Linked DNA regions of Drosophila melanogaster. The protein of the gene in region 1 binds, or shares a complex with, the protein of each later gene. Each region holds a gene or a part of one and is shown in the gene's direction. Other genes may lie near its edges.

Evidence for each region.
Region 2: Ada1-2 (region 1) and Spt3 share a complex: the UniProt entries of both Drosophila melanogaster proteins name them as parts of the spt-Ada-Gcn5 acetyltransferase (SAGA) complex.
Region 3: Ada1-2 (region 1) and wda share a complex: the UniProt entries of both Drosophila melanogaster proteins name them as parts of the spt-Ada-Gcn5 acetyltransferase (SAGA) complex.

What each region holds. Positions count from the first base shown.
Region 1 is NT_033779.5:11,987,899-11,997,887, forward strand, and holds Ada1-2 (transcriptional adaptor 1-2), read left to right. Parts: upstream 1-5,003; 5' UTR 5,004-5,094; coding exon 5,095-5,894; intron 5,895-5,958; coding exon 5,959-6,085; 3' UTR 6,086-6,156; downstream 6,157-9,989. Other genes in the region: CG6686 (uncharacterized protein), read right to left, coding at 1-47; CG34163 (uncharacterized protein), read left to right, coding at 420-431, 486-737; zuc (zucchini), read right to left, coding at 1,165-1,926; dgt2 (dim gamma-tubulin 2), read left to right, coding at 2,126-2,357, 2,415-2,878; escl, read left to right, coding at 3,075-3,373, 3,432-3,621, 3,677-4,576; CG18789 (uncharacterized protein), read right to left, coding at 6,168-7,287, 7,343-7,419; Qtzl (quetzalcoatl), read left to right, coding at 7,916-8,045, 8,104-8,345; Ada1-1 (transcriptional adaptor 1-1), read left to right, coding at 9,006-9,805, 9,870-9,989. UniProt on the Drosophila melanogaster protein: Component of the transcription regulatory complex SAGA, a multiprotein complex that activates transcription by remodeling chromatin and mediating histone acetylation and deubiquitination. The SAGA complex predominantly acetylates histone H3.
Region 2 is NT_033777.3:12,012,609-12,022,799, forward strand, and holds Spt3 (Spt3), read left to right. Parts: upstream 1-4,547; 5' UTR 4,548-4,617; coding exon 4,618-5,772; 3' UTR 5,773-5,942; downstream 5,943-10,191. Other genes in the region: GCC185 (GRIP and coiled-coil domain containing 185 kDa), read left to right, coding at 1-1,651, 1,715-1,832, 1,896-1,978; DCAF12 (DDB1 and CUL4 associated factor 12), read right to left, coding at 2,639-2,791, 2,856-3,260, 3,320-3,874, 3,944-4,210. UniProt on the Drosophila melanogaster protein: Component of the transcription regulatory complex SAGA, a multiprotein complex that activates transcription by remodeling chromatin and mediating histone acetylation and deubiquitination. The SAGA complex predominantly acetylates histone H3.
Region 3 is NT_033777.3:23,250,627-23,262,413, reverse strand, and holds wda (will decrease acetylation), read left to right. Parts: upstream 1-4,326; 5' UTR 4,327-4,414; coding exon 4,415-4,573; intron 4,574-4,633; coding exon 4,634-5,928; intron 5,929-6,005; coding exon 6,006-6,306; intron 6,307-6,366; coding exon 6,367-6,713; intron 6,714-6,790; coding exon 6,791-6,920; 3' UTR 6,921-7,344; downstream 7,345-11,787. Other genes in the region: Pex11c (peroxin 11c), read right to left, coding at 1,986-2,193, 2,253-2,312, 2,373-2,737, 3,433-3,504; EloA (elongin A), read right to left, coding at 7,966-8,045, 8,105-8,396, 8,462-8,661, 8,719-8,813, 8,872-9,089, 9,145-9,522, 9,578-10,165, 10,457-10,537; Rad60, read left to right, coding at 11,190-11,247, 11,312-11,787. UniProt on the Drosophila melanogaster protein: Component of the transcription regulatory complex SAGA, a multiprotein complex that activates transcription by remodeling chromatin and mediating histone acetylation and deubiquitination. The SAGA complex predominantly acetylates histone H3.

The sequences.
Region 1 (9,989 bases):
TTCTTCTTGTCCTTCTTGTGTTTCTTTCCCGACGACGAGGAACCCATATTTATTATTATTTTCACAACAAAATACAGAAAATTTCACAAGAAAAAGACGCCGGTGTGACCGCAGTTCGGGAAGCGGAAATATACCAGGTGTGCCACGGTAAAATTAAATGCCAATCACAGTGATGCGCGCACAAAGCCACCGAAATTGTTTAAGATATTAAAACTGAATGTAATTATTAAATTATCACGCAATGTAGTACTTCGGAACTTTTTATTTGTTAAAAGGACCTTTTTATTTAGAATTCGTTTTGTTAAAATTACCTTTTTGAATGACTAAACTTACACCGCCTACTCTTCTTCTTATTTTTTGTTTTGCCATTCACCACGAACTTAATAACAACTTAACACGCGGAGATCTCCACATAAACAATGGAAATTAAAGTACGTAAACAAATTATTTGCGACCTAAAACTTATTTCATTTTGATCCCCGTAGAAGTCCAAGAAATCAAAGAACGACAAGAAGTCCAAGGCGCCCAAGGAGTCGTCCGTTTCGCTCAAACTGAACGCTTTGCATCGCAAGCAAAAGGAAGTCGCCCGCGTGCTCACTTTAAAACAAGAAATATTACTGAAATCGGGTGTATCCTATCTGGAATATTATGAGATTCTGGCAGAAATCGAACGACTCAACGGCCTAAAGGAGTCATTTATGCGCCGCGCTGATAAGCTGAAGCAACAGGACAAATAGTTGATAAGTTGGTTTGGTTTAGAAACTATATAAGAGTAAAGAAATCTGTAGCAGTTATATTTCGGAATGTTTTGTACATACATACATGTAATCTTTTTTGTAATTAACTTTTATTTACTTAAAAGCTTTCAATAACATGATGAATAAAGTAGAAAGTTATATATATAGTCAAAGCTGATCATAACTAAATGCACGTTGAAAATTAGTCAACTCAATCGAAGTGATAAAGATTTCATACGGATTATACTGTTAGGTATACATTTTGATTACTTTTGTTTTGCTTAATTAATTTGGCACTCCTTTGTGTGTGAAGATCAAGCTGCCTTAAAAAGTTTTAGTTTAATTGAAGGCACTTAGAAAATAAGAACTATAATTATTTGGCATACTGAGGAACTGTTTGGTAGTCATACATTAAATCAATTGATTTCTACTTGAGCTGGATTTGGCTCCCCTCGGTCTTCGCAAAAGCCCGCCACATTCGTTGGAATTCCGCCTGAAACGTGGCTGTGAGTTTGTCGTCAGCTGTGATAATGCAGTTCTCCCAATTGCCTCCCAGTCCAAGAGCCGTCCAGTTTACGGAGCCGCTGATCACGATGCTATAGCACGGACGCATAAACTTGAGCTTCCTCAGCAGACGAATCTCCTCGACGCGCTCGAAGCCGTCGATTATGCAGAATTTGTTGTGCATCAAGTTCGTGGTAATGGGGACGCGAACTGGAACTCCCAATTGTGCCAGCATACTGATCTGAGAACCTTTGGAGTAGACCATCTCCCCGTCGCTGATGATCCGGATAATCACGCCGCGCTGCAGGGCCCGCTTTATTGAATCCGCCAAAAAAAGCGAGGTGAAGGTGTATATGGCCAGGTCAATGGAGTATACAGCCCGATCGATCTGCTCTACGATCTTGGCCACATTCCGCAGCGAACAATGCGTGTTGCAGCAGGGCGACACTTGTGGTTTCTGGGATCCCATGCTGCTGTTGCGCATATGCACCGCCGCACAGATCTCGCCCAGTTCATTGAAGATGATCACTTCGTGCACGCGGCTTGCCTTCTCTCGCTTGCTGCGCGAGCACTGCACCAGCTTCCAAATCACCTCTGAGGCCAGGACAGTGCTGACGGCAATGCTTATTGTGGACACAATGGGATAGTCTCGAATTTGTTTCATAATTATTTGGGTAATCAACATTTTTGAATTTAGCTCGTTTCTCTAGCGCGCTTTAAATAATAATCTTGGGGTGACCATTATAAAATATAAGTAAAATATATTATCGTTAGTAGCTACCGGTCACACTGTTGCTCAGTAGCGTTGCCGTATCGCAGCCATGCGCTTGCCCATTCGAATCAAACAATCAATTTCGGGTCAATTTAAGCATTTTACCACCTAAATGGATGATCCATCCGCCACGCTCTTGCCCGAACACTCGGAAGATTTGCGGCTGGCTCGCGATGCGGAGCTGAAGAAGGTGCTCAAGCTGAAGCTAGTGCTGGACGAGCTAAGACGCCTGGATGTGGGCCCAAATCCGAGTGATGAAATCAAAAGAGCCCTCAAATTGGTTTCCATTGGAAGTTATGCGCGACTCGGCGAGATGGAGGGAGCTGGTCAGGAGCAGGTGCTTGGTAGGCGCGTTACAAGTTTATTCCAAAAGCAGTGAATAACCATTGGAAATCTAACAGGTCTACCGAGCGGCAGCAGTTTTCCGCCCTTGAATTACACGGATCGCAAGACGGTGCGTACCAAATTGTCCGCTCAATTACGCACAACTCTGCAACCCATTGCCGAATTGTGCGACAGGATACGCGAGGAGTTCCCGGACGCCTTTGGCCAGGAGGCGGACTTAAGCTGCGACCAAAAGGAGATTCTGCGCCTGGAGGAGGAGCATCGCAGCGGTCTGGAGAAATTGGTTGCGCTTCTCACTCGTAAGTGCACGCTTCTCAAGGAGACCGCCGAATTGAAATTGGGGCCGCAGTTGGCAAACGAACTAAAATTGCAACAGGCGCAGGCGCAACTTGTTCAAACAAAAGCAGAACTACTGCGCGGATTTTTCGTCCACGAGGCCGCCTCTCGCACCGAACATAGCGTCAAGGCACATAAGGAGGTGGAGGCGCACCTGGACGAGCTGCTCGCCGCCAAGAAGTAGATTTAAGCAAACTAGTATTATGTAAATTAGATTTTTAAATACATTATAATTGTGATTTAAACAGGGTTGTTCGTTTAGGTCTTTTCGCTCTAGAATGGCAACACTGTTTTGCACTGCAGTATTTGCAGACGGTCACTCTAGGGATAAACAATTTGTAAACAAAAGAAGCTTTTAAGTTTGCCGGAATAAAACAGATATGACCGAAACGAATCCCAGTGAAATATCTCCTCCGAGCGAAGAGCCACCGGCAGAGGACGAATCCACTGACCACTCTCCAGCGGAGGCAGTGCTGAGCAATAATTCCTCGAGTGTCTGCAATGTTGTGGAGCCGGATGATGAGCACGAAGTTAATTCCGTGGATCGGGAGGACACCGCCAGTTTGTTCAGCACTACTACGACCACCACCAGAAGCAAATCGCCAAATACACGAAAATTGAACCGCCTGTGTCGGCGGATCAAGGCACCCAAAATGGTTCAGCCCTTGTACAAATATAGGTGTGATTTTTCCAGGCAGAACATAAGTCATAATGTTTATATCCCGGATGCATTGCAGCTCCCATGTCCGCGAGGACCACAACCATCAGATCTTCGGAGTGCAGTTCAATCCGTTCCTGGACAGAGGCCAGCCGCAGGTGTTCGCCACCGTTGGCAAGGATCGGGTTTCCATTTATGAGTGCGAGAGGAGCACCGGACAGGAGTCCTGCGAAGGCATTCGACTGCTGCAAGTCTACGCAGACCCAGATGTAAGTACTCATCATATGCTATTACTTACATACATCATCGTTACGCCCTCGTTAGACCGATGAAAGTTTCTACACATGCGCTTGGTCCTACGACTCTGTGACCGGCGATCCTGTGCTTGCCGCGGCTGGTTACCGCGGCGTCATTCGCATATTCAATCCGGTTAAGCACCAGTGCAGCAAAAACTACATTGGTCACGGGCACGCCATTAACGAGCTGAAGTTTCATCCGACTAGACCGCAGTTACTTCTGTCCGGCAGCAAGGATCACTCCCTGCGCCTTTGGAACATTCAGTCGGACGTGTGTGTGGCGGTTTTCGGCGGCGTAGAAGGACACCGCGACGAAGTGTTGTCTGTGGACTTTGATTTGCGCGGTGATCGCATCATGTCCAGTGGAATGGATCACTCACTGAAGCTCTGGCGACTGGATAAGCCCGATATAAAAGAGGCCATCGAGCTGAGCTCTGGTTTTAGTCCCAACAAGAATACGGGTCCGTTTCCCACGATCAAGGAGCACTTTCCGGACTTCTCGACAAGGGATATACATCGAAATTATGTGGATTGCGTTCAGTGGTTCGGCGACTTTGTCTTTTCGAAATCCTGCGAGAACTCAATTGTTTGCTGGAAGCCGGGCAAACTTTCAGAATCGTGGCATGAGATTAAGCCACAGGAGTCGGCCACCACGGTGCTGCATCACTTTGACTACAAGATGTGCGAGATCTGGTTCGTACGCTTCGCCTTCAACGCCTGGCAAAAGATTCTGGCCTTGGGCAATCAACTGGGCACAACATTTGTCTGGGAATTGGACTGCAATGATCCCAATTTAACAAAGTGTAGCCAGCTGGTTCATCCCAAAAGCAACTCCACCATCCGACAGACTTCCTTCTCCAAAGACGGTTCCATTTTAGTTTGCGTGTGCGACGACAGCACCGTGTGGCGATGGGATCGCGTCAATTAGGATGAGTGTTTCTAGGCTAAAAGAATTTTCCTTATCCTTCTAAATCCGATACCATATTTATGTAACCATAGTTATTTTCAGTGTAATGTTTACCTTCAATATTAAGTATGTTATTATGCGTAGCATTTATATACAATACTCATTGTATTGACAATTTATGTTAAATTATGTTAAATTTTTTAACATTAACCAAGATATTTATTCTATTCTATTACTTTTTTAATGATCAAATAGCTTCGCAAATATTATCATCTTATGTTGTGTGAATGGCGTGGGCTCTATCTTTAATGTTTATATTTTAACTAACTAACTTGTACACAATAAAAACTGTGAACACTAAAGATTAAAACCAATATTTTTTTAAAGGGTTCTTCAAAAATAACGGTTTTTATCTCAAATGTATCTGGTATTTTCAGCCGTTCTTTGAACGGTCACTCGAATCAGCTGCATTCATTTGTTTATATAGCAATTCGCAAACAGTTGGATTTTCCTGTTTAGTTGTTATTCCCATTACTAAAATGCTTACCGACAGAGTTCTGGCCACCAAGGAGGCGCTAGTGGTGGCTCTGGGCGACAACTGGGAGCGTTACCGGGCCAACATGAAGAATTGGTTTCGGAGCCGTTGGACTAAGGAGGAATTCGATGCGGAGTCGCGGAAAATCCTAACACCTGACAAACTGCACCTGCACAATCAGTTCCTGCTCGCCCTGCTCAACAAGATCGACGCCTTTGCTCCCCTGGAGAATCCTCCGGCCGTCCAGACCAGCAGCAGTAGTGGCAACCGAAGCAAACGGCGCAAAAGAAGTTCCCGCACCTTCGCCGAACGCCTTAATTTTGAGCTCAGCGACGTCCTGGACTTTGTAGCCGAGGACAACATGCAAATCATTCGTCCGCCAACCACGATCGGTATTCCGTCGGACCAGCAACAGCAACAGCTTCAGTCGCAGCGGTACTGCGCGCAGGAACTTTTCCTGCCCGACGCGGGATTCATTATGGGACGATTTCTGATCGGTGCCTGGGAAATCGGACTTGTCTCCGTGGACGACAATGTCGCCGAGTACGTTGCCATGGCCGTGCAAGTTCTGCTCAAGGATCTACTATCGGCAATCATCAAGAAACGAAAGCACTACAAGACCAGCGGCGAGGGAAACTTTTACTACGATGTAGGTGCTCCGTTGCGTGATCCTTCGCTGCGCAACACCGTCACCCGGCAGAAGGTCGACGACACGCCGCTGGAACTGGACAAGGAACTGAATACGGCCAACTTTATGCGGCGACAGAACGACGATGTGACCTTCCTCTCCGCCTGCGAAGAAGTGTAAGCTCCTGAATAATAATGAGATTTTCATGTGAAACACAAACTTAGGTTTTGTTTCTTTCAGCCAACCCACCGAACGCACAGTAATCACCCTCAAGGACTGCCAACTGGCCTTACGGGATCGCAACCTGATAGGCTCGCATGCCGTCTACTCTATAAACATGGAACGACTCAATATGATGATGCATTAGCTTATAAGTTCTAATTATTTTATTATATCAGCTTCTGTAAAAATATATACATTATACGCTAGTGTACCATTAAGTGTTTGGTTCAGCAAAAATTCCGTGGAGGCGGTTTGAATGGCAAGGCACCTGGTAGAAATTGATCCGCCTTGAATGCTTCGATTTCCTGCTCGTTGAGATCCTCCATGCGACTGTAAACTGAGGACTGGATTTCGTTGGTCGGTTGAGCTTGCTGCTGCTGCTGCTGCATCATTTGCTGTTGCTGTTGCATTTGAAATTGTTGTTGCTGCTGCTGCATTTGTTGCTGTTGCATCTGCTGCTGCTGATGCATTTGTTGCTGTTGCATCTGTTGCTGCTGCTGCATCTGTTGCTGCTGCTGCATCTGTTGTTGATTAGGGAATGCAGATGCTGCTGCTTGAGCAAATAATCCGGAGGCAGCTGCCTGCTGCTGCTGTTGTAGTTGCTGAGAAGCCTGAGTAAACATTCCGCCCATATTTTGGCTTGCGGCTTGGCCAAAGATTCCCGTCGACTGTGGTTGCTGCTGCTGCTGTTGGAAACCACCGAAAGGATTAGGATTCACTGGCTGAGCTTGCACCTGAACCTGCGCCTGGGCGAAAATGTTGCCCCCTTGGAAAGCTTGTGCAGCAGGCTGCAGCTGTTGCTGCTGTGGCTGTCCAAAGACACTTTGTGCACCTGTTGCCGCAGCTCCTACACCAAAAATGCTATTCCTTGCATTGGCATTGCTAATCGTTCCGCCGAAAATGCTATTGGTGTTGCTGGCTTGGCTTGTGGCATTCCCAAATATATTTCCCGCACTCAGCGTGGGCTTTCCAAAAATGGATGCAGATGTATTGGCGGCAGCCGGAGCTGCTGCAGCGAAGGGATTACTGGACTGCTGAGGGGCAGCCGACACAGTGCCGCCCTCCGGCGTCTCGTGGATCTTGATCATCATTTCCAGGACCTGCGGCGACATCTGAAGCATGGTCTTCATCTTGTTGTTAGCCTCTAGGACCTCACGGTTAAACTGTTGGCTGAACTGTTCGAATTGGTTTTGTCGTTTGGCCTCGTAACACATGAACCGCACCTCCTCGAAGGATTGGTCCTGAATAAAGTTGGGGAAATTCGCTTTGTCCTTAAAGGGTCCGTAGGCGGACAAAGGCCACATCTTGCCATTGAGGCTGGATTCCATGTCGGCTTTGAGATATTGCCTAAAATAATTAAGTTATTAGTTCATCTGCATAGTTTTAATATCAATGTACTCACTTAACATCGAAATGCTCGTTGTTGCACTTTGCGCCATAGCGGCAGGAGCCTTGTTGAAAGAACCGGCAGACAACCATATTTAAATTTGATTTTAATTTTTGCCTATTTCCTATATTTATTATTTCAAAACTGCTTCAACTTTTGTACTTTTGTTTATAATTGTCTTACTTTGCGTATTGAGTATTCTTTGAGTATTTTATGGCTCACTGAGAAAAATATACCGTGCCTATGCGCGCAATTTCGTGAATTCGTAACTTAAGTTCGCTGAATGATTAAGATAATTTTGTAAGCAAACATATTTAAGATGAAAACTGGTTTTTGAAAATATAGTTCCTTGTAAATTATACATTAAGTGCGAATATATCTGAAAAATATTGGTTTCTTGCACAGATGCTATTCATTTTTCATATGTTCAAAGAAATTCAGAAACTTGCTTCTGCATAATCGAATCAGATAATTTTAAAGTGAATTCCGGAGTCCTTTGGTATATCTCGTGCCGCCGAATACGGTCCCACTGATTGTGAAATCCGTGATAACGAATTTTAACACCAGAATTTCTAGGATTCCATCAGAATGCAAAAAGTGCTGGGACGCATCCAGGCGCAGGTCCTCCGCTCCCGGGCGACGAATGCATTAGCCAATGTGGTTAGACACGAGGCCACCTCCTCCAGGACAGCGGCTAAACCAGCCGCCACATCCAAAGGTAAGCGGATCCTCCAAGATGCACAGTTACCGCTTACCAAAATCGTATTCGTTCGTAGAATTCCGGGAGAGACAGGTGCGATTCAACATAAAGAACGAACAGACCGAGGGTAGACCACTTTACCTGGATGCCCAGGCCACCACTCCAATGGACCCACGTGTATTGGACGCTATGCTCCCCTATCTGACCAATTTCTACGGAAATCTGGTTCGTACGCTTCGCCTTCAACGCCTGGCAAAAGATTCTGGCCTTGGGCAATCAACTGGGCACAACATTTGTCTGGGAATTGGACTGCAATGATCCCAATTTAACAAAGTGTAGCCAGCTGGTTCATCCCAAAAGCAACTCCACCATCCGACAGACTTCCTTCTCCAAAGACGGTTCCATTTTAGTTTGCGTGTGCGACGACAGCACCGTGTGGCGATGGGATCGCGTCAATTAGGATGAGTGTTTCTAGGCTAAAAGAATTTTCCTTATCCTTCTAAATCCGATACCATATTTATGTAACCATAGTTATTTTCAGTGTAATGTTTACCTTCAATATTAAGTATGTTCTTATGCGTAGCATTTATATACAATACTCATTGTATTGACAATTTATGTTAAATTATGTTAAATTTTTTAACATTAACCAAGATATTTATTCTATTCTATTACTTTTTTAATGATCAAATAGCTTCGCAAATATTATCATCTTATGTTGTGTGAATGGCGTGGGCTCTATCTTTAATGTTTATATTTTAACTAACTAACTTGTACACAATAAAAACTGTGAACACTAAAGATTAAAACCAATATTTTTTTAAAGGGTTCTTCAAAAATAACGGTTTTTATCTCAAATGTATCTGGTATTTTCAGCCGTTCTTTGAACGGTCACTCGAATCAGCTGCATTCATTTGTTTATATAGCAATTCGCAAACAGTTGGATTTTCCTGTTTAGTTGTTATTCCCAATACTAAAATGCTTACCGACAGAGTTCTGGCCACCAAGGAGGCGCTAGTGGTGGCTCTGGGCGACAACTGGGAGCGTTACCGGGCCAACATGAAGAATTGGTTTCGGAGCCGTTGGACTAAGGAGGAATTCGATGCGGAGTCGCGGAAAATCCTAACACCTGACAAACTGCACCTGCACAATCAGTTCCTGCTCGCCCTGCTCAACAAGATCGACGCCTTTGCTCCCCTGGAGAATCCTCCGGCCGTCCAGACCAGCAGCAGTAGTGGCAACCGAAGCAAACGGCGCAAAAGAAGTTGCCGCACCTTCGCCGAACGCCTTAATTTTGAGCTCAGCGACGTCCTGGACTTTGTAGCCGAGGACAACATGCAAATCATTCGTCCGCCAACCACGATCGGTATTCCGTCGGACCAGCAACAGCAACAGCTTCAGTCGCAGCGGTACTGCGCGCAGGAACTTTTCCTGCCCGACGCGGGATTCATTATGGGACGATTTCTGATCGGTGCCTGGGAAATCGGACTTGTCTCCGTGGACGACAATGTCGCCGAGTACGTTGCCATGGCCGTGCAAGTTCTGCTCAAGGATCTACTATCGGCAATCATCAAGAAACGAAAGCACTACAAGACCAGCGGCGAGGGAAACTTTTACTACGATGTAGGTGCTCCGTTGCGTGATCCTTCGCTGCGCAACACCGTCACCCGGCAGAAGGTCGACGACACGCCGCTGGAACTGGACAAGGAACTGAATACGGCCAACTTTATGCGGCGACAGAACGACGATGTGACCTTCCTCTCCGCCTGCGAAGAAGTGTAAGCTCCTGAATAATAATGAGATTTTCATGTGAAACACAAACTTAGGTTTTGTTTCTTTCAGCCAACCCACCGAACGCACAGTAATCACCCTCAAGGACTGCCAACTGGCCTTACGGGATCGCAACCTGATAGGCTCGCATGCCGTCTACTCCATAAACATGGAACGACTCAATATGATGAT
Region 2 (10,191 bases), on another chromosome or scaffold:
GAAGTACCATAAGCTCAGAGCCATAGCTGCCAAGCTGAAAAAGAAACTGCAGGAGCAGACGCAGCAGCTGAATGAAATGGAACAGAGCGGTGCCCTAAAGGAGGAGTTGGAGGCAATCAAGTTGGCACAGGCCCAACTGCAACAGGATTTAAATGCAGCTCGAGCTGAAAACCAGAAGCTAAAGTCCAAGGAGAAAGTAAAGCACTCCAGTGTCCTTAATTTGGAAATTGAAGCAGCTGAAAAATCCCTGAGCGAAGTTAGTGCGAAGCTGACAGCTAAGTCTAGCGAACTAGAAGCCGTTAAGGAATCACTGGCCAGCAAGGAAAACACCATCGTCCAGCTGCGCAAGGAGATCGCTATCCTAGAGGAGGCCAAAAACGGCGAAGCGGCCCACTCCCTAGAACTTAAGGAGCAGATTGATCGCATGCAGGTCCAGGTCAAAGACGCAGTTCACAGCAAGCAACAGGCGCTCACTCAGAACAAGGATTTGGAACATGGCGTTGAACAGGCCAAGCTCGAGGCGGAGCAATTGCGTCTCCAGCTGTCGGAGAGCGCCCAACAATACGAATCGAAGCTAAACACGGCCACCCAACAACTACTAAGCCAAACCCAGGAGCTGGAAATGCACCTGGCAGAGCAAAAGCGATTGGAGACGGCGCTTCGAAATGCGGAACGAGCTCTGGAGGACCTGCGAGTAGAGTACACCGAATACAAGTTGAAGGCACAGTCTGTGCTGCGCAAAAACCAAAATAAGGGCTCCAACCGCGAACAGGAGTTGGAAGAAGAGTTGGTTGCGCTTCGAGAGAGTGAACGCAATCTGCGCGCCAGCAACGATGGAAGAGCTGCCCGCCTGGCCCAGTTGGATAGTCAAATAGAGGAATTGCGACAGGATAACACTGATCTGCAAAAGCGTAGCAAAGAGCTCGTCTCTCTAGTTGACGAACTGCGTCAGCAAAACGACCTGCTGTCGCTAGAAAACCAACGCCAGTTGCAATTCCAACACGACCTGATGCAGCAGCATCGCCAGCAAGTTGATGAGCTGGACGCCGGGCACCAGTTGCAATTAACGCAGGTGCAGGAGCAACTGGAGGAAGCGCAAAAGATGCAAGCAAACGTCTCTCAGCATACCACTGCATCCGCCGCGAGCGTGGACACCAGTCCAGAGCAGGCAAAGATCGATTACTTGCTTATGGACCACGAAACAGGCTTGGATGGCCACGCTGGAGACGTCTCTCTGGCCCAACTGGCTGCTCAGCGAAAGATATCTACTGCCTCGAGACGTTCCCACGACTTCATGCCGCTTGACGAGCTGCTCAACACATCAATGAACCAAATAACCAGCGATACCGTGACTACCATCTCTAATTTCGGACGCAGCGTTTCGCAGCAGGAGGACGAGGAAGCGGAAATGGCCGCACGGGGAGACTTTTCCGTCCAAAGTGCCCAGCTTCAGGCCACAAAAGAACGCCTAAGCATCCAGGAAAGTCGTGTCAAGCACTTGACTGCCCTGTTGGCCGAAAACGAACAGGATTTGGCTAAACTGACCCAAATGAACGACATGCTCAAGGAAGAATTGCGCCGCCAAGAGCGCTCCGAGGAACGTGAACAACACATGCACAACTCCGAGTACTTGAAGAACGTCTTCTTAAAGGTGAGATCAGGAACGCAATAACTATATCCACGGGCTTAATCTATTTACTTTATAAACTTGCAGTTCCTTACGTTAAACAATGTCGATGAGCGGCAGCGCTTGGTTCCCGTGCTAAATACCATTCTCCGCCTGAGTCGCAACGAAATGGAAATGCTGAACTGTGTGGCCAAGGGACAGAAAGGTAACTACTAGCAGAAAAATTTAAATTTTAGTATGGTTTCTTGTATTAAGATATTGCTTTTAGTTTCTGCAGATGGTAGCAGTCGCAGCTGGACGGGATTCCTCACTGCGTGGAGTGGAGGAGGCAGTCCCAATAATAACAACTAGCGAACATCATAGGATATATAATATATAAATATTCGTCTTGTTGGATGCGGATAGTCGTCAGTCGTTGGGCAGTTGCATAGCATTCATTCTGTAAATCTTGTACAATTTCCCTTTTATATATAATGTATTTTAAAATTGCTCGTTGCTGTTTGGCACATCGTACTTTGTACACTCTTGTAATTTGTCCACACCCGTTGTGTTGAGTGCCCTATACAGCACCACCGGCAATATGCGCGTTGTAGATTGAAGAAAGCCTTTGCATATATTTAAAAACAATGTTTTTCAATGGTTTGTTTAATTTGAAATTCTATTACCATATAGATCAGACTATAAATCAGATGCATTGTCTATAAATTAGTATTCCATTATTTGTATTGTATGTACTATATATAAATAGGATCGGTATTTATGCTTACATTTACACTTTTAAACGGTGTATATTGTTTACACACAATATAAAATATCATTAACATAAATCTTACATAAATTTCATTAAAACCAAAAGTGAGTAATCAAGTTAAATAAAAATTCTGTCTTGGCGGAATACATATGCAGGTGAACGATTTGAATCGAAATGCGCCAAAAGATTAAAGATCACAAGTCGAATAACTACTTAAATACTAATCAGTATTGTGAGCCCGGATCGGATCCTATGCCAATCTATTGCCAAACGCCCGCATAGTTGCCCACCAAAGTCGCCGGCAGTGGTCCTCCTGCAGCGAAGAGGCGCATCCTAGTGCTGTCATAGCAGTGGGTGTAGATGGCGGGCACATACTTCACCTGCTGGAAGCCATCCATCTCATCCTCCGGATACTGAAATGTACAAAACAGTTAGGTGAATTGGTGTATTTTGTGGAACTGTAACCTCTTCACTTACCACAATTCCTTTGCTGCACTTGAGTGCGACTGTGCGCGAGGCATTCACACTGCTCTCCAAATACTTTCCGGCTCGAATGTCGTAGAATAGGAGCATGCCCAGACCCGTGCCAACGGTGAGCAGGTTACCTTCGAACGAAGTCGCCCGTATACCGCAGCCACTGTATCGAGATGTGATCTTCTTAATGGTTTGAAGGGTTCGGGCGTCCAAAAGGATGGTATAGGAACGGCATCCAACGGCATAAAGGCCGTCGCTGTGGTAGGCGATGCTCACGTTGTCCTGGCAGTTTGGCAGCTTTCGTGAGAGTGTCTGCTTGAAGGTCTCCGCATTGAAGATGTGAATGTATCCGTTCAGCGAGAGGGCGGCGATCTCCTTAAACTCCTTGTTGAAGCAAAGAGATCGAATCTGTAAAAGATCTTATTGATAAAATGGTTCTTTGATTTGATTTGCATTCATAAGCTCACCCTCTGGGCAGTGCGAACTTCCTTGACACTAAGGGGGTGGATGGTTGCGAATGTGGGACACGCTTCCTCGCCGCCATCTGGAAACTCCATGTGATCCTCGTTGATGCGCCACAGAGCCATGCGCGAGTCCTTCGATCCGGACACAAGAAACTGGTCATCCAGCCAGCACATGCCCATTATAAGGTCGCGGTGCCCACCCTCGCCCACACAGACGGGATCCAGCGTAGGCAGTCGGTAAACAGCAATATCGGAGGAGTTGCGCGCACCGGTGGCTAGGAAGGATCGGCTGGGCGACAGCTCGATGGCATGCAGGCCACCCTGGACCTCAGGATGGTTTGCCCGGCTATTTGAGAGCGTTGGGATGGCGTCCACCCGGCGCATGTTCACATCGTAGACGAGCAGTTTATTGCACTTGGTCCCGAAAACCACTTGTCGACTGCTCAGCCACTTGGAGCAGAAGACCTTGTTGATGTAGCCCAGACTAATCTGCGTCTCGCGCAGCATGTCGTGGGTTAGCACATAGCGGCTGGTGTACTCCACATTGACACTGCGACGCTGCAGAGGATGGTGGGACAAAGTTCACGTTAGCAATGCAAGTGGTGCGACTTCACAACATATACCCACATCTCGGAGTCCACTCTCCCGGCTGCGCAGGTAGTCGCACAGGTTGTAGGATGTGTTCAGGACCTCCTCCTGCTGTTGGGGCGTCTCCTCGTCGCTGCCGGAATCCTCGTAAGTAACAAAGTCGTCTGGTTTGTCCGGTTTTCGTCTACGCTCCTGTCGCATCGCCCGCTGCTTGGCCCTGCGCTCCTCCAGCCGCGAGGATACGTGGCAGGACGGATAGGTGCCCACGACGCTGTCGCGGATGGTTCTCACCATCCCGTTGAACATCTTAAGGTAATTGTTTAATCCGATTTGTTGTCTTTTGCTTTACGGGTTATCATCCGCAAACAAAAATGGTGGTGCGTAGACTACAGTGGAACTACTGGTTCGGAACTGAAGTTTGCTGAACCGATTGTTTTGCATTTAATGCAGAGATACAAATTAAGGGAAATAAAAATACAAGTGTTGACATTTTTCTATTTGGCACAATACTCGGCCGCTCTGGTTACCTGAATATATATATATATATAATAATATATATATAATATACAGTATTTATATAAAGTCGGATGTCGCACAAATGCGTTACACTATCGTTCATCCCTAACGATAGGCCATCGCTTTCACAAAGGGTTTTATCTATTCTCACGAAATCAGCTGTTGCGATTGAAGTGGTGACTTTGTTTGTAAATAAAATGAACTACAACGCCAAGCGAGTAATGCGACAGAACTCGGTTTGCGTGGGTTCCAACGACATGGCAGCGTCGCCGATAATGATTGGACCTGCCCCGCCCTCGGCGCCCAGCACGCCGCAACTGCAGACCACCGAGGACATCAAGCCACTGCTTGTGCAGCGCCAAGTGATTCTGCTGCAAAGTGGAAGCATACCGACGAATCCCTCGCCACAGCAGATCAACCTAGCTGGACATAATGTAGCCGGTGGTGCCAGCGGGAGCAACGTTGCCAACGTTCTCATTCCGGATGATGCACCTGTCTCACTGCTCACAGAGATTGCGGATATCATGCGAAGCTTCGGCGACAGCGATCAGCCCAGGACGGGAAGTGTCAAGCTGGTGGAGCAGATCCTGCAGCAGCAGCTGCGCGGCATCTTCAATGAGGCTTCGCTGGTGGCCATGCGGCGGAAACAGAATCCCTGCCCGTCGCAGGCGGACTTTGAGTTCCTGATGCGCAACCATCCGGTGAAGATAGCTCGGATGCGAAAGCACCTCAAGGATATGCGCATACTCAAAAGGTTCCTTAGTATCCGCACGGGAAGGCCGCAGGACTTCATGGACGACTTGGAGCAGCAGGAGGAGGACGAGGAGCTGGCCATCGATGTGTACGAGCTACACGACGAGGACCGAATGCGAAGATTATTCCGCGCAGATCGGATATCGCAGATCCTTACGGGCCAGCAATACCTGGAGTTCAATGAGGCGCGCAAGACGTCATTCTACTGCCGCCATGGGGAGAAGATCAAGAACAAGTTCCGCCGCTTTCTGGACCTGCCCGCGGACCTTCGCATCCCAACGCCGACAATGAACATTTTGGCCTATCTGGCGCATGAGACCATTGCCGCCATTGTCGACTATTCGATCCTGACGCGCCTGAACTCGGACAACCGTGCGACCGAGCCCTACAGCCGAGTGACCTCCGCCGGAGGCAGTCCGGCTATGATGCACGTCTGTCCGGAGGTCACACAGGGTCGCGGCATGGAGGTGGTCAAGCCAATCAGTGTACCGGAGATCCACGAGGCCATGCGCCGTTTCCGGCAAATGAGCAGCCGTAAGATTGGGCGGTATCGCAACTCTTGCGACATCGATTTCCGGCGCAGTTTTCTAGCCATTTAAGTTTTAATGATCTTAATATCCTCGCCTATTTTTATTTGCGTCAATTATTGATTTTATTCACAAAAAATAGACTGTACAATTAATTCATTTAAAGTAATTCAATCCCCAACAATTAACGCGCTCTACATTTTAATTATACAAATTATAAAATAAAGCAATTTTGGCTCGTTAAAAAAGTTTTTTCCTGAGAGGTCAAGAACAACTAGGCATATTCATTAATTCAATTTGCCTGTGGCACATATCCTGGCCTTTGAGGCTGCGACTAAAAGACAGAAAAACGCACTCCAATTACGGACGGGTGAATCTGCCTCGCATGGAGCCGATAAATTGAAGCGGTAAACGAAGTTGAAACTGGCACCGACAGATAAATAAAAGCGCAATAAAGAAATTTGCCGACAGGCGCACTCGCACGTGTGCCACACAGACGGAGCGAAGGAGAAGGACCAGCAAGGATGCCGCAGGATTGCAGGAGAGACTGCAGCATAAGGCATTAAGAGAAGCAACTCGCGAACGCACTTAATAATCAACTTCCTGTTGTGCATATAAATGTGTGTGACACGCATAGCAACGAAGGGTAAAGGGGTTAAAATTCATTCCGCAGTTATGGGTGGCGGGTTTCATTCTGTCTTTTGCCGTGAATTGAAAAGGATTAAGAATTATTGCTCAATGTCACTTGAACTTTTAATATATGTACATATGTGCAATTGTGGTCATGATTGTATAGCAAAGGCAAAATCCAAATCTTTTCCAAAAACCTTTTTAAAATAACTTTTAAAAACCATTTATTTGAAATTTTTCTTATTCCTATCACCCGCTTGTTTATCTGATAACATGCGGTCCGAAATTTGACTTAAAATCGATGCACCTTTAAAGGTATCCTCTTGTTATTTTCTTCGGTGGGATATCCTAGTTTAATCGGATCTTAATGTTGATTGCTCTGTGCTGCAGATGTAATTCCAACGGCCCATTATTCTTAATCGATTGCTCATACGCCTAACGAGCGCCGGAACGCAGTCGATAGCTCCTCGATGGCCAGTTAATGAAAACAAGCTGGCTGTGACGAAATTAAGCCAACAACTTGTTTCCATTCCAGCATCGTCCTTGTGATTTTTTTCCTTGACCCCGCGCACTGCTCCCCACACTTCTCCACACTCACTGTTAATGTTTCCAAATTTGCATTTCATGCGGCTCTTCGCTTCGTCCCCAACAGGACCATCATCATCAGGTCCGTGGAGCTCGTCGTCGCGTCGTCATTTCTTCGTATTGTCAAGTCACGTAGCCAATTTCCAGGCCGCGTAAAGTCAATATGCCCCAATCCCTTGTAGCCGAGTTGCCTTAAACTTCTCTTAAAGGGAAGGCCCTCATATTATACGTATGTATGTAAATATGCCTCTATACCTTAATTTCTTGAATAATTTAGAATACAGAATTAATTATCCTTCGAAAGATACTGTTTTGAAAGATACTGTTTTCTAAACTTTTCTAACAATGATAGTTAAATAGAATTACACTATGTAAACAGAAAATCATAGCATGAATATTGAAAATTTTTATTCAAAATTGACTTATGTTTAAGAACATGTTTGCTGAGCGGCTAATTAAGTAAAGCTTTTAATTTCTCTAACTTGCCACAAAGAGTGTGCAGTTGAGAAACATCAATTGCATGTCTGGCTTAGCAATTGGATATTTTTGAAAATCCGTTCGGCTAAACTTTTTTAATTACTTTCGCTTTCTCGAAAAGTTGCTGACGTCAGCCGGAGGCAATTTCCCCCGATGCCCAGCCCCCGAGACCATTGACAGTTGTCTAGGCATAAACCATTAGAAGCTAGCAAAAAAATAAAAGGAAACCAAAACAAAAACAGTCCCTCGGAGGAGCATATTACACGGCCTTTTAATTTGAAACCGTCTTGGAATGTGTTGACACAAGTACTCAGGCTAAATACGCTGGAGCCGGTCTTATTCAAAATGAATGAGATTAAACGCCTCCAACGGAAAGATCCCGCCAACGCCATCGCCATTGCTCCGTCCATCCACCTATCCGTCCTATGAACGGAGCCCAAGGGCATTCTCATCTCATTGTCATTGGTGGCACAGCATCCATGGTCATGCCACTCCATCCCCGAGTGCGATTGGCAGTGCCACCGAGTGCGTTTGGGTGCCCAGGTGGGAGGCAGGTGGGTGACAGGCGGGTCGAGGTGAGCGCACAAAGAAAACTGTCTTTATTTAATTAGTTAAGTGGCAGGAGCAATTATATATTATGTGATCAAAATACTTGACCTACTTACTCAACAACGATTTTAACTTCCTAAACGCAGCTATTTACATCTTGAGTTAGGAACGCATGGATGTGTGATGAAAACAAGTTATGCGTATATGAATTGAGTGTTCTCATTGAAAGTCGCAAGTTCAGCAGTATGATGAAGATGTAAGCACCTTGTCTGGAATTCAGCAATTTAATTCAGCCTAAAGTGAAATTTATGCAAATTATTTTATCTAATTTTATATGTATTTAATTAATTGATGTTATTAACAATTATTAATTAAGAAAGAATTAAAGCACGCATTTTGTTATAGATTCTCAATTATATTTAGATATTAATATCACAGAACTTACATTTATTTAATATGTTTTACTTATAAGTTTTGACTTCACTATAAAAATTCAAATTTTCGTTTCTAAAAACTGGGAACAATTCTTGCAGGTTCAAGCGGTTAACAGTGAACGGAAATGGGAATAGTCATGCGCACTCAGCAGTGGGAACAGCATGCAACAGTTTGTCGTCCCCGAAAATCCCCTCATATTTACCATTTTGGGAATGGAAATGTATGAACTGAAACGTAATACCACCGAATCCTCCGTTGCAAAAGCGAAATTTGAAACGAACTATTCTCAGTCGAAGGATGTTGGTTACATCATAAGACACTGGATAAGATAAGACCGAAGGAATTGTTAGGGGTAAGGCTAGGACCTAAACAATGTTACTTTTGTAACACCAAAGATTACGAAGATGTTTTCTTTATAAATATGTGTTTAATTGCAAACATATCATCGTTAAACATATGTTTATAATAAATGCAGCTTGAAATAAATTTAAATATTTGCTATCCTTGCTTACATTAGTCGCCGCATTTCATTGTTTTTCACTAGGTTATCCGCAGAAAAACAAACAGCAGTATACAAAGAATGCATTTTATTGAAAATATAAATTTCGACAATTTGAATAACATGAGACTTCAGTTTACAAATCGATGTTGAGTAATATTTTAATGTAAATCGAAATGATTTTAACCAATTTATAAAATTATTTCAGATGAGGTTTGTTATCAATGTTAGTTGTTTGGAAATTCAATTCATCTGAACGTGTAATTCCTGTTGTTTTGTTTCGTGGTTTTTTGATATTTCATATCCTTTTATTATTGATTACACACTTTCCTGCAATCAGATAAATTACATGGCAAGTGTTTAAGTGTCCTTCGAATGGAAAAAAAGTAATGACACAAATAGAAAACTTTTTCTACGGGTTGAGCAGAAATAAAAGTGAGCCACAACCTTTGCCCCCAAAAAGTTGGTTGCACTTTTGTTTGAATTTTCTTGGCTCTTTCACGCTCCCGTGGTCGCGAAAGTATTTTTTCCTTTTTTTTTTTTTATCATTCACAATGGCCTCTGTGTGACTTTTGTGAGAGGCTTTCTAGGGTTGAGTGGGTGGGTGTAGGATTACCCCGTTCTCCTGTGTCGGCAGATGCTTTAAAACTTTTGATGCTCCTCATACATATGCTACATGTGTACTTTTAAGAGCCTCCGGGTGAACTTTCTACTGTCTACGAAATTCGACGGTAAAAGGGTACGTTCGTCGAGAGGGGGATGGGGTGGCGCAGGATCTGCGGTCGAGGTCGTCCTTGGGGGTTGAACCTGACTGTCAAAGTTATAATGTGTGGCTGCCTAATTTGCTGTGAAAACTGATTTGCACATAATCAAAAAGGTTGTCTCCCCCGGAGCTCACAATTGAGGTTAAGGCTGTCACATGGACTTGTTATTAACCATCATTAAATTGTTTAATTATTCTCTATGGTCGCTTCTCTGCTTTTTGCTGGCGTTTGTCATGGATTTATAATGACAGCCTAGAGTTTACAAAAGCCGCATGACTTTGCATAATATCCATTTAATTAACAATTATTTTAAGTGAGTTCATTCAATCAACGATTCAAATAATTAGCACTGCACAAAGCCACCTTTGCTTTGGACTTTTCGGTTCATTGACATCCTCGAGTGCAATCTTAAATGCTGTAAAATCAATTAAAGAGTCAAATTTGAATTACGGATTAGCTCGATGTTGTTTGTTATGGACTAGGCTAATTGCATTTGACACCCGAGTCCAACCTCAAAAAACACGCCAACATATTTCAAGTTTTCATTAGATT
Region 3 (11,787 bases), on another chromosome or scaffold:
CTCGTATTCGAAACCCTATACCAGATATTTTTACTATCGTATTACTGATGTACTGTCAACTGTATTCAAAGACACAAGCGAACATGTGAGACACATTTTGGGGGAACATTAGCAAGAACTTTGCAAATTGAATTTTAAACCAACAATATTTGCCCGGCAAATATGTTAAAATTAAGCGTAAACCTAGCGAGTAAGCATAAGAATGCAATAAGAACGGTTTTTAAAAAGACTATTATACAACCTATATATATATACACCAATGAATATTAAATAATAATTCAGAACGGAATACTAAGCTTTTAATGCAATAATCAAATACCACATATATACTATATACATACACTTACATATAAATATATATTTTAATAATTACTTGCGGGGCAACCGAATTGAGTTAAGAGCCCTGAATTCGTATACTGTTATAGCAGAGGATGAGAGTAAAGGATATTTAGAAGAATATTTAGTAACGGCCCTCGTCCTTTCGCCCAATATAAAGGGGTTGGCGGGGGTTCGACTAATTGATTTTCCCACCTTATATAGGAATATAAACAAAAATTACTGCAGTGCCATTTTAAATAGCTTCCGATAAGAATAAATATATACATAAATATATAAAGCAAGACGTAAATTGGTACATAAAGACCTAATACAGTTGGTTATTAGTTTTTGGAGGCACCTAAAAAAGTCCAGACTTCTTTTTTATGGGTAAACCGTACACCATATCGAGGGATTACAGCATATACAGTATACCCAACATGGAAGATTGTACAGTTTTACTGTAGAAAAGAGTTGGAACAAATATTTTGTAGCCGATCCTTTAACTTTGGCCACTGTTCATGCAATATAAATACATACAAATATAAATATATATACCTATTTATGTACTAAATAATTATTATATATTGTTATGAGCAAGAGTTCAAATTGCATTATGGTTATAAAGAATACAGACAGATACACAACTATAAAAGCAAATGGAACAAAGTTGAACATATTTTGAGTGCATGAACTCTTTTTGGGAACTTTTTGAGGCTTTTTTTTTTTGTAAGTGAAGCGAACAAACTTCAATCGAATATCCAATGATACTAATAACAATAACAAAAGTATATAACTCATGTAGCTAGGTATATTATCGAAAATTAATAAATCCCAAAAATATCTATATCAAAATAACATGAATTTTAATGAACCCCGTTACATAAACAGCAAACATAAAGGCTAAAAATAAAATGATAAACACCACTTCATTCATACTTCGTACATCTAAAGAGCTTACCAATGGAAGCAGTCAAGCAGAGCAAACTAAAAACGATAATAACTAAAAAAGTAATTGTTAATATTTATGCGCTTGCGACGGCACACAAACACAAGCAAATAAACTATGTACAATGAAAATATATTTACTAACAAATGTTATTTTTAACCAAAGCCATAGAGGTCAGATCTTGGGCTCCTGCCCGACCAACTGATCTGGTCCCTCATGTAATCTATAAATCCAAATATTTAAATTGAAACCATGCATAACAAGTATTATATCAGACATATGAGTATTTTAAATATGCCTAAGACACATTGTATACAATGACTGCTAAACCGACAAAACAAATCGTTCTCGTGAACGACAAATAATACGAATAACTCTGGTAAATGAACCCTCGCCAGAGGGCTGACAATATATGTACATTAAGTTAAACATTCTGCTGGCTAAGAAGGGAATTAACAATACACAAACTGACATATACATGTATGGGAATCTAAAAACACACAATAAAAGAAATAACAGATAATAAAGGACACACAGACCAAAAACTCATGTTTTTTACAATTATTCAGCGTGTATTTTGTGCTACTTTAAAGGACATACTGGCTAAACACACTTTCGAGTGCCGTACAAAAAACTCAACGTACAAAAACGATTACCGACTAGCTTAAAATTCTGTTCAACAAATACGAGTACACGGATTGCAAATACAACGGCGGACCGACTACTTGTTCAGTCTTCTCTTGGCAAAGATCTGGTAGATGCCCAGGCCAGCGGATAAGGTGCCAATAGCACCCACCTGCAGGGTGGACAGCTTGCCGCCCCACAAATATCCTTTCGGCAGCGTGCTGACGGCGTGCACAAAGTCGAGTGAGATCCGAACGATGGACACCATCTCCAGGCGGTGCTTGGTCAACGTTTTCACATCCAATCTATGGATTTGGAAGGTTTGTTAGCTTTTATTGGATGTTTTCGGCTGACGACCACTTACTCGTTTATATTATTCGTTCGGTTCAGCTTTTCCTGATTCAGTGAAAAATTCCGCATTGTCCTAGAAGATGCAATTTAATTTGAAAATTCAAAGCTGACGATTCGAATAATTCTTCTGTACCTCATGAGGTTCAGGTACACCGAAAGCACCCAGAATATGGAGTTGACATTGTCCCAGTTATCCGCATTCTTGACATCCACAATCTTGTGCTCGGCCAGCCAGCACACCTTCTCGATGGGATAGTAGAGCAAATCCACAATGTTGGCCGTCACTCCCAGCACTTGCATGACGCGATCGGGCTCATTCTCGCCCAAGCCATACTCCAAAGCATATTGGATCATGGGTATGTCGTCGATGAGACGCAGTGTGGCTCTCGCACCTGAGATCCTTGAGCTGGCGGTGGCGTATCGCTTGGCTAGTTCCGGATTCCGCTTGGCATGGTAGCCAGCCACCAGTTTGGCACTGTAGCACAATGCCTTCATCACCTGAAATAGGTATTTAATTTCATATATGTAATAATTGTTCTGCGCAATTCGTTAAGCCGTGTGTTTGCTCTATCACGAGAGTTGGCATCGCTGTTTACCTTTGCCTCTACCTGACCCCAATCGCCAGTCAGCCCTGCAATTTGTGGAATTGCTTGGTTGTCACAAACAGATAAAATACTATCAGCGATAAAAAGAATACAACGAATGCCACAATCATCTCGTGTGATGGCCGCCAGTGGAGTGCTCCTGGTCGTCCGTCCTGGCCGGAATGAGTTGTGGGTGGTTTCATTGTTTACCCATTAATGGTTCAGTTTGCTTGCTTTGCCATCAATGAATTAGTTATGCAATTCGGAGGAATACTAATGTCGCTATACGACTAATTTATGTAAATATCCTATAGTATTTCCAAAGTTCGTGACCACCCCATTCGCTGTTTACAGCCACATAATATATTATATTATATTTTCAAATGGTTATCAAGTATAACAAATTATTTGTTCTAATTAATAAATCTAAAATACTTTGAACAATATTTTATCGTATTCAAGGTTCGATTTTTCTATTAAAATAGAGATACACTATACAAGATTCCCTCTTTGTCTGCACTGTATACACCCCTTGTAGGGGTATATAAACTCGCGATGGTGGAAATGTGTGGATCGCGTGTCTCCTGATGGGCGGCAGTCCAAACAAACCTTTCGTTCATAACGAATTATCCGCTTTATCTGGTAGCGGCTTAAAGGTTTGCCGGCTATAGTATTGAGCATTATCTTGACTCGATCGCCGCCGAACTGCGACTGATAAGCGAAAAGCGAAATACAAAATCCATTGCGAATCAGAAAGAAGTAAGGCAAGGTCCAAACTGCTGTGGCTTCCTTGTTCGAGACCCAAAGACCAATGCCAACATCGATGCAGCAACAACATGGAAACCTGTTGGTTCAGTTTCGATTTCAAGCGAGCCCCTCAATGGACCAGTCCAAAAAGGAAATAGAAACCAGTCAAAATGCCACGATGCATTTTTTTAAATTTGCGCATACGAATTGGGAAAAACACTCGGTTCAAACGTAAACAAACAGGTGTGTTTTCAATTAATTGGAAATTTACTCGGCTGTGCGGCTCTTCTATGTTACCTTATCTCGCCCGCCATAGGAATCGATAATATCACAGAACTCGTTCACAAACTTTGTCGTGGTGCCCATAATGGCTCGTTTTTTGAAGACCAGGTACTGTTTTATATCACGTAAAAACTCGAACTGAGATACCGCAGCGAAAATACAAGAAATTGTCAAGAGCGCTCGGGAATCCAACAACACAAACAGCTGACTTTCTTCAGTGGTGACAATAGCCAAATAAACTAGCTAAGAATAGAGAATATAATAGAGCTAAAAATAAAAAGCTAGTTAATATAAATAAAATATAATATAAATATAAGTTAAAAATGTAAAAATAAATTTAAAATTAAAATATTTCAATATCAATATTGTTATAAAAGAGAAGCCAAATAGCCATCACTGACGAAAACAATTTTGAAAGAACAGCTGTTGCAGCCGCTTAAAATCGATGAATGCACATCGATAGGACAACCCATCTCCGCTGTCAGCACTATAATCGAACGCATATCGGACGCACTGCAGGACGGGATCAGGATACGGAACAAAGCGAGGCTAACACGCAACGATGAGCCTGCCCAGCGCCAGCAACCACGCACATGCTGCATCGCCCGTCTACAGCAACAGCAATAACAACAAGTCGAGCGCGAGCAGCAAAAAGACCTCCTCCAAAAACGATTTGCTACGCTGCGCCGTGGGACTCCTGCTGAAGCAGAAAAACTACGTGGTAAGTGAATAATCTTCAAATATACAATTCCTCAGAGTGTTCAAATATTCAAACCCGTAGAGCAACGAACGATTTCGGCGGTCGGATTTTTTGCTGCTGCAAAACAAACAGCAGTTTGCTGTCAACAAAATGCTGGATACGGATTTGCACGGTGGCAATAGCTTCACCTTTTCAAATGTCCAGGTTATCACCAACAACCAGCACACTGTGGACCAGCAATTTGGTCGGTTTTCGCAGTTCGTGGAGGCCCAGGCCGAACCGCTGCGTCTGGAAATGAAGCGCTTTTATGGACCCATGCTGTGCCACTTCTATCTGGATCTGCTCAAGGCTCGCGAACCGCGTGGCGCTGTGGAGTTGTTGCGCAAATATGCTCACTTGGTGGCCCCCGTGGATATGTACGATGCACCACCACCTACCAAGATCAACGGATGCTCCACTACGGCCAATGAGTCCACTTTTAACATACGCTTCGCAAAGGAAGCCCAGGACACTGGGGACACGGAACTGGACTACTTTATGCGCCTGGTGCAAACCCTGAGTGGCTACACACGGCTGGAGGCAGCAGAGTCCGATGACACAGTGGCCCATTTTCGATCTTCGAAATACGAACTACATACTACAGCCGTAGTTGTTAATAGGATATGCGCTTATCTCCAACGACGGGGCCACGTTTTAATTATGAACCTACTCTACACCTGGTTGCATGTCCATATAGTGGAGAATGAGCAGCGCGCCTTTAGTGAGGATCACCTGCTTGGCTTGACGGATGACCTGGAAGGTGAGGATGGAGAGGACGATGTTGTTTCCAAACCAGCAGTAACCCTTAATACCCGCGGAGACATAAGACCAAGCAAATCCCTCACTGAAAAGTCGAACCGAAAACGACCCGCTGAGGAGCCAAACATTATGCTAGAAACAGACATCAAACAGGAGGTAGAAACGGATGAATCTGCAGAGCTTAGTAAATTACAACTGAATATAGACGCCTGCTTGGACACCCTTAAATCGGCCACTGAACAGATACTCAAGTCTCAGGTGGAGTTGCCGCGATTTCTCAGAATCAGTGAACGTTCTCGGGGCCTCACCTCCGCCCATCTGGATCCCAGTGAGTGCCACATGTTAGCCGGGTTCGACAATTCTGCCGTACAGCTGTGGCAGTTAAACCAGAGCTACTGCCGCGGCAAGAGCTTCTACAGACGCTATCCGCAAAAGCGGTGTCCCTGGGAGCTGAACAATTGCGCGAATCAAGAGGAGGAGACGGATGAGGACAGCAGCGATGAGGATGTCAAGTGCTCTGAGGAGGAGAGACGGGAACGCAACAGGGCGCGACATTGCAAATATGCTGATAACTCCTAGTAAGTTCATCTTCCAGGTTTAGTATTGGTTTTATTTTTCAATTTTTAATCAACTAAAGTTTTTTTTTTCTAATTAGCAACGAATACGGCGGATTTCAGCTGCGAGGTCACACAAAAGGAGTCACCGATGTGCGCTTCTCCGCCCACTACCCACTCATGTATAGTGTGTCCAAAGACGCAACCATGCGGTGCTGGCGTGCCCACAACCTGCATTGCGCCGCCATATACAGAAGTCACAACTACCCAATTTGGTGCTTGGACGAAAGTCCAGTGGGCCAATACGTGGTAACGGGTTCCAAGGATTTGAGTGCGCGCCTCTGGTCGCTAGAGAAGGAACATGCGCTCATAATTTATGCCGGGCATACACAGGATGTTGAGGTTGGTTTAACCAAAAATGTCTTTGAACTTTTAGTTATATATATTTTTTTTTTCTGACAGTGCGTTGCGTTCCATCCGAATGGCAACTACATAGCCACAGGATCGGCAGATCACTCCGTTCGCCTGTGGTGTGCAACCAGCGGAAAATTGATGCGTGTCTTTGCCGACTGCCGTCAGGCGGTGACCCAGCTGGCGTTTAGCCCAGATGGAAAGATGTTGGCTGCCGCCGGAGAGGAAACGAAGGTGCGTATATTCGACTTGGCCGCCGGAGCACAGCTGGCTGAGCTCAAGGATCACTCGGCGAGCATTAGTTCTCTTTCCTGGAGCACGCACAATAGGCACCTGGCCACAGCGTGCAGCGATGGTACCTTGCGATTGTGGGACATCAAGAAACTATCGCCCATGAGGTTAGTTATATTTGTGGAATGGAAACGGAGCAATTTGTTAATATTGGTAATGATGATTTATTTTGGTTGCTCCACAGTGACAACAGTAGTGCTGGAAGCTCATCATCAGCTACAACGAATCGTGTGCTTACTGTCAATAGTTCCTGCCAGCGCTTGGTCGATGTTTTTTACGGGACCAGCAAGACGCTCTACTGCATCGGCACTTAAAGAAGACGGTTGAAAGTTCAGCCCGAATTTAGACTTTCTAGTGACGACTTATGTTTGAAAATAATTTATTTTGTAATAAGTTGTATATTATTGTTACTATCGTGTGAAACAATTCTTTATATAAATAATTCTTTTGATTTAACAATCCTGGTAGCTTTCTTGTGGAATAAAACGAGTTGGTTACAGTGTAATGCCTTTACCTGCATCGTCTACTGGTCACAGCTAAAGAATGTCTTTCAAAACGAAGTCATGGCATAAGTAATGAGTGGCCAATTTCCACAAAAGTTGAAAAATGTGTAACTATTAAAAATAAGACGAGCATTCGAATCGAATTTCAATTGTTGAAGTGATTTTTTTTAATATATTAACATTTTACCCAATACCTAAAAATGTGCAAAACTAAATAAATCTAAAGGTAATATAGAATTTTTTGGTTGAATTTAATTAGCGATGCATTAAGAGACATTTTACTGTTCTTCAATAATTTAGGTAGTTTCATATAGGTTTAGGATTGTGTAAATACATTTATATACAGCTTGGAACCTCTATGATTTTGGACATACGCACAGCCCTTTTGAACAAAGAACATTGAACTTAATTTTTAAATAATGTTGGAGTGATCAGCCTTCTGATCGTAAGTTACATGCAATCAATGAATTGAACAACTATAATCAAATATCATAACTTATGTAAATGAGCTTGTCTACGACCCAGCGGGATGCAACAAAAGCTTTATCTTTATCCGGTTGGCTTAAATATAGTGACTTATACAGCGTAATAAAAGAGGGCAGAACATGAATAAATAATAAATAGCATGCATATGCTACGCATGCCGACAGCAGCAGTCTGATTCCACAGCGCACTGGGAAGTAGAAGGTCTAGTATCACAATGTCACTTTATTCAGACCTGAAAGTCTTTGCCAATAAAGTTGGAAGGTAATCCCACCGTGAATGCCTAATAGATCGAGGTTGCTGCTACTGCTGCTGCTTAAGTTGTCGCTGAAGAAGTTGAGTATAAGATTGTAGCTATAATGAGTAAGCGCATCTATCGTTTGAGACGTCCGCGCATAAACTGCAAGGTCTTCGCCATTAGAGGTGCCTTCTTCGATCGCGCTGGTCCAGCCCCTTTTCAATAAAAATTATAGGTAAATTTAATTCTTAACCACAATCATTACAATACTTACCCACTTGGGCCGTGTCCCTGGCAGCGGCCAGCACACGTAGTCGGGCATCGCCCACCTTGGCTGCATTTGGAGTCACGCTGGACAAGGCGGCCACTCGGGCGGCTGGAGTGGCAATTAGCTTGCCCTTGGTGCCATATTGCTCTTGCTTGCGCTGCACACTACGCGGCGGCTTCACCATTGAGTCCACAAAGGCCAATTGCGTCTTGCGCACAGGCGCCTCGCTTATCTTTTGCGATGCCTTGATGCTCTCGGCCAGAATGCTAAGTTTGCGATCCTTTTCCTCTTGGCAGCGCTAGAACGAAATTTTTGTGTCAGCTTAGTTTAGTTTGCATTAATTTAGGGTCTTTGCGTCCCTACCAAAAACATTTCGCGCCACGTTTCCATCTCTTCACGCCGCTGACTGCGACAGTGACGTTGGACATGCTGTTGCCATAGGACATCACTGTCATCCATTAAATAAGGATTGTACTCCTCAAAGTTAAGCAGCTGCTGGGGGGTAGCTCGCTCCAAAACGGGACGTAGGACCTCAAACGGAACGCCACCCGTATACTCCAATGCTGAAAAACAATTAAGATGGTTATTTACATTCGATATGACCATTAGTAAGATCTTACCATCAATATTCTTTTGCAGCACGCGGGTGCAGAGATCAAAAAGGGAAGGGACCTGCAGGATTTGACCAGTTCTCACACCCGAATAGATCTTGGTGCTACAAAGTATAAAAAGTTGATATACTTTGTGCATCACATTATAATATCCTAGCTCACCGCATAGTTTTGGAAGAGATGCCCTGCGCTAGAGCTTCTGACTCATTAAAGTATCGTGATGCTTGCGCCTTGTGTGAGCCACCCTGGTTAAAGACGACGTCCATAACTGTCTGATTTAATGGCATGGGCTTGTAGTTATTGGATATGGTGGGAAGTTCTAGTGCAATGTTTGGATCCAAGGGCTCCAGCTTAGCTGTGGATGCCAACAGTTCGGGTTTCTAAAGAATAAACATATGTTACCACAACTTATAAAAATGAATTTCTACTAATTACTTTGGAGGTCGGTCGACTGCTAGTTGAGAGTGCCTCTTTAGATGACCCAGCAGTCGTAGGTGCTGATAGAGCTGACGAGGAAGGGGCTGCAGTTGGCTTGGCGACAAACTTGCTCTTGCTGTTGCTGCTGCTCTTCTTGCTACTTATGGGTATGTTTAGCAGACCAAGAACATCGTCAAAATTTGCGCCCATGCTGGAGTCAAAACCATCAGCGGAATCTTCCTCAGATTTCGATTTAACTTTTGGTATCTTTGCTTTTTGGGACTCCTCCTCGTGGCGTGGGGGACTATGGGAGCGCTTTGATGACTTGGAGGACGATGATTTGTGTTTGCTCGACTTGTCTTTGACTTCCTTTAATTCACTGTGAGAAGTTTTGTCCTGAAAAAAAAATGCATAAGAACAATAACCACTTTTGATCAAGAGGAAAGCATACCTTTTCGTGCTTGCTTTTGGTGTGTTCGCTCTTGTGGCTCTCGGATTTGCTGCTCTTGTGACTGCTGCTGGATTTGCTGGAATCCTTTGACTTGTGCTCGCCATTTGACTTCTTTTCTTTGTGCTCCTTAGCTTCCTTCTGACCCTCCCGATCTTTATCTCTATCCTTGGATTTATCGTGGCGAGAGCTCTTGTGCTTCTTATCCGAGTCAGACCTACTCTTGGAGTGAGATCGGCTGCTGCTGCTACGCTCATGCTTGGTGCTCTTGGCATGCTTTGACTTGTGCTTGCTGGTGTTCAAGTCCTCGCCGCTGGATGAGTTGCCGCCCTTGTTCTCCTGGTCGGGATCCTCGTCGCTGGACTTGGTCTTGCCCGAGTCCTCTTCGTTATGTATGGCTGTAGGCGTAGATGCGATCGAAGGGTCCTCCTTCGCCACCATTGCCTTCCACTTGGTTACCAGCGTCTTGGCCGCCACGCCAACTTCCCCGCTGATCTTGCGCAGGGCATTCACCGTCTTGCCAATTCCCGTTTCCTGCAGGTGCTCGAATTTGATCGGCAGGTTGAACAGCTTGGTGATGCAGTGCAGCAGCTGCTCGACGGGAGAGCAGGTAGCGAAAGAGGTGATTAAGAAAGATTAGCAAAAGACCGTGTGAGTGAAAGGTCAGCGGAAAAGAAGAGCGACTTAAAGTCGAGAAAAGTGACCTTGGCGGAGGTACATATGTTTGCGAATTTCACAAGGTTAAGTAAGGGAAAGCCAGCCAGGTCAGGTACATAGGGGTGATTAAATGGTTAGGAAAATGGGGGACTTGAATGATAGGAAGGCAGTAAGCAGTGGATCAAAAGGGATGCGATGGCGGTGCCAATGAGGGTAATAGCTCACCCGTTGTTCGTCCTCGCCGTGCTTCTCAATGCTGCGCTGGTAGTGGCGCACCACGTCCAGCAGATTGCTGGTGGAGGCCATCGCGTCGTCTCAAAGTATTCCACGCAAAATGAAATGAAAAAAATGGCACGCAGGCAGACTTTGTCGTCTCTTCCCGTTTTCTTTTTCTCACTTTCAGTTTACTGATTTTTTTTTAGGGAATCCAGGTAAACACACACGCACCCAAGGGCAAACACACGCACACGCACAAGTGCACACACACACGCGGAAAAGCCTCTGGTCGCGAGGCTCTAAGTTATTTTCAATAGCATTACGGGCCTTTATTATAATACATTCGATTTTTGCTTTTGCCAGGCCAGCAGCGTTGGAAACTAAATGAGATTTGCTTTTGACGGCGTGGCGCTTGTCAACACTGGCCAAACAGCTGTCGGCCAGAGTTGCTCTACGTCACAGTAGGCTTGTACAAACATTTAGTGAATTCAATCGTGATAATACAAATAATTAACATGTCCAAATCATCGATACACACATTAAATAAAATCGAATTGTAAATTACATTTGACTACCAGCAAATACTTTGATCGTGGTCTCGTGTCGTGTGGCTACCCTGGTCACAGTAGTTATCGGATATCGATTTTCCTTGCAACCACTGTGGCGTCTATTTGGTTTTGTGTTTGTGTTTATTGTTTGGCGCCGTTATTGGTTTATTACTGACTGTTACTGAGTGCCCACGATGTCCGACGACGACTGCGATATATTCAGTGCTGCTCGCAAGCGGATTCCCGAAATAGGTTAGCTTTAAACTGCAGAAATCCAAGTTTTTCCACATACCTTCGCTTTTGTCGTCTTTATCAGCTTTGCCCAAGAATCCTTACAATCTTGGCAATGATTCCTTCTCCAAGGAGGTGGACTACGATTTCATTGAAGACCTCCCCAAGAAATCAACTAAAACTGGCAAACGAAAGAACCCTGCAGCGACGCGGAAAAATCCACCCAAAAGTCAGGATGATGCTTCGCCACCAAAACAGGCAGAACATAAGGCTGTGGAGCCAGAAGAGGATATGAGAACAGAGCGCTCCCTATCACCGGTATCCCTGTTGATATTGGAGATGGAAAAGAAAAATGGCCAGCAATCGGATGTGGAGAAGCACGCCAAAGAAAATGACGTTGGTCCTGTGGCCAGACGCACACGGTCATCGTTAAATAGGTCAGAAATGGCGCCACCACCTGTTTCACCGACTGTGGAGGTGCCCACACAGACGAAACCAAAGAAGCGCGGCCAAAAAAAGAGAACATCTCTAACAACCACAACCAGCAACTCTGCTTCGATG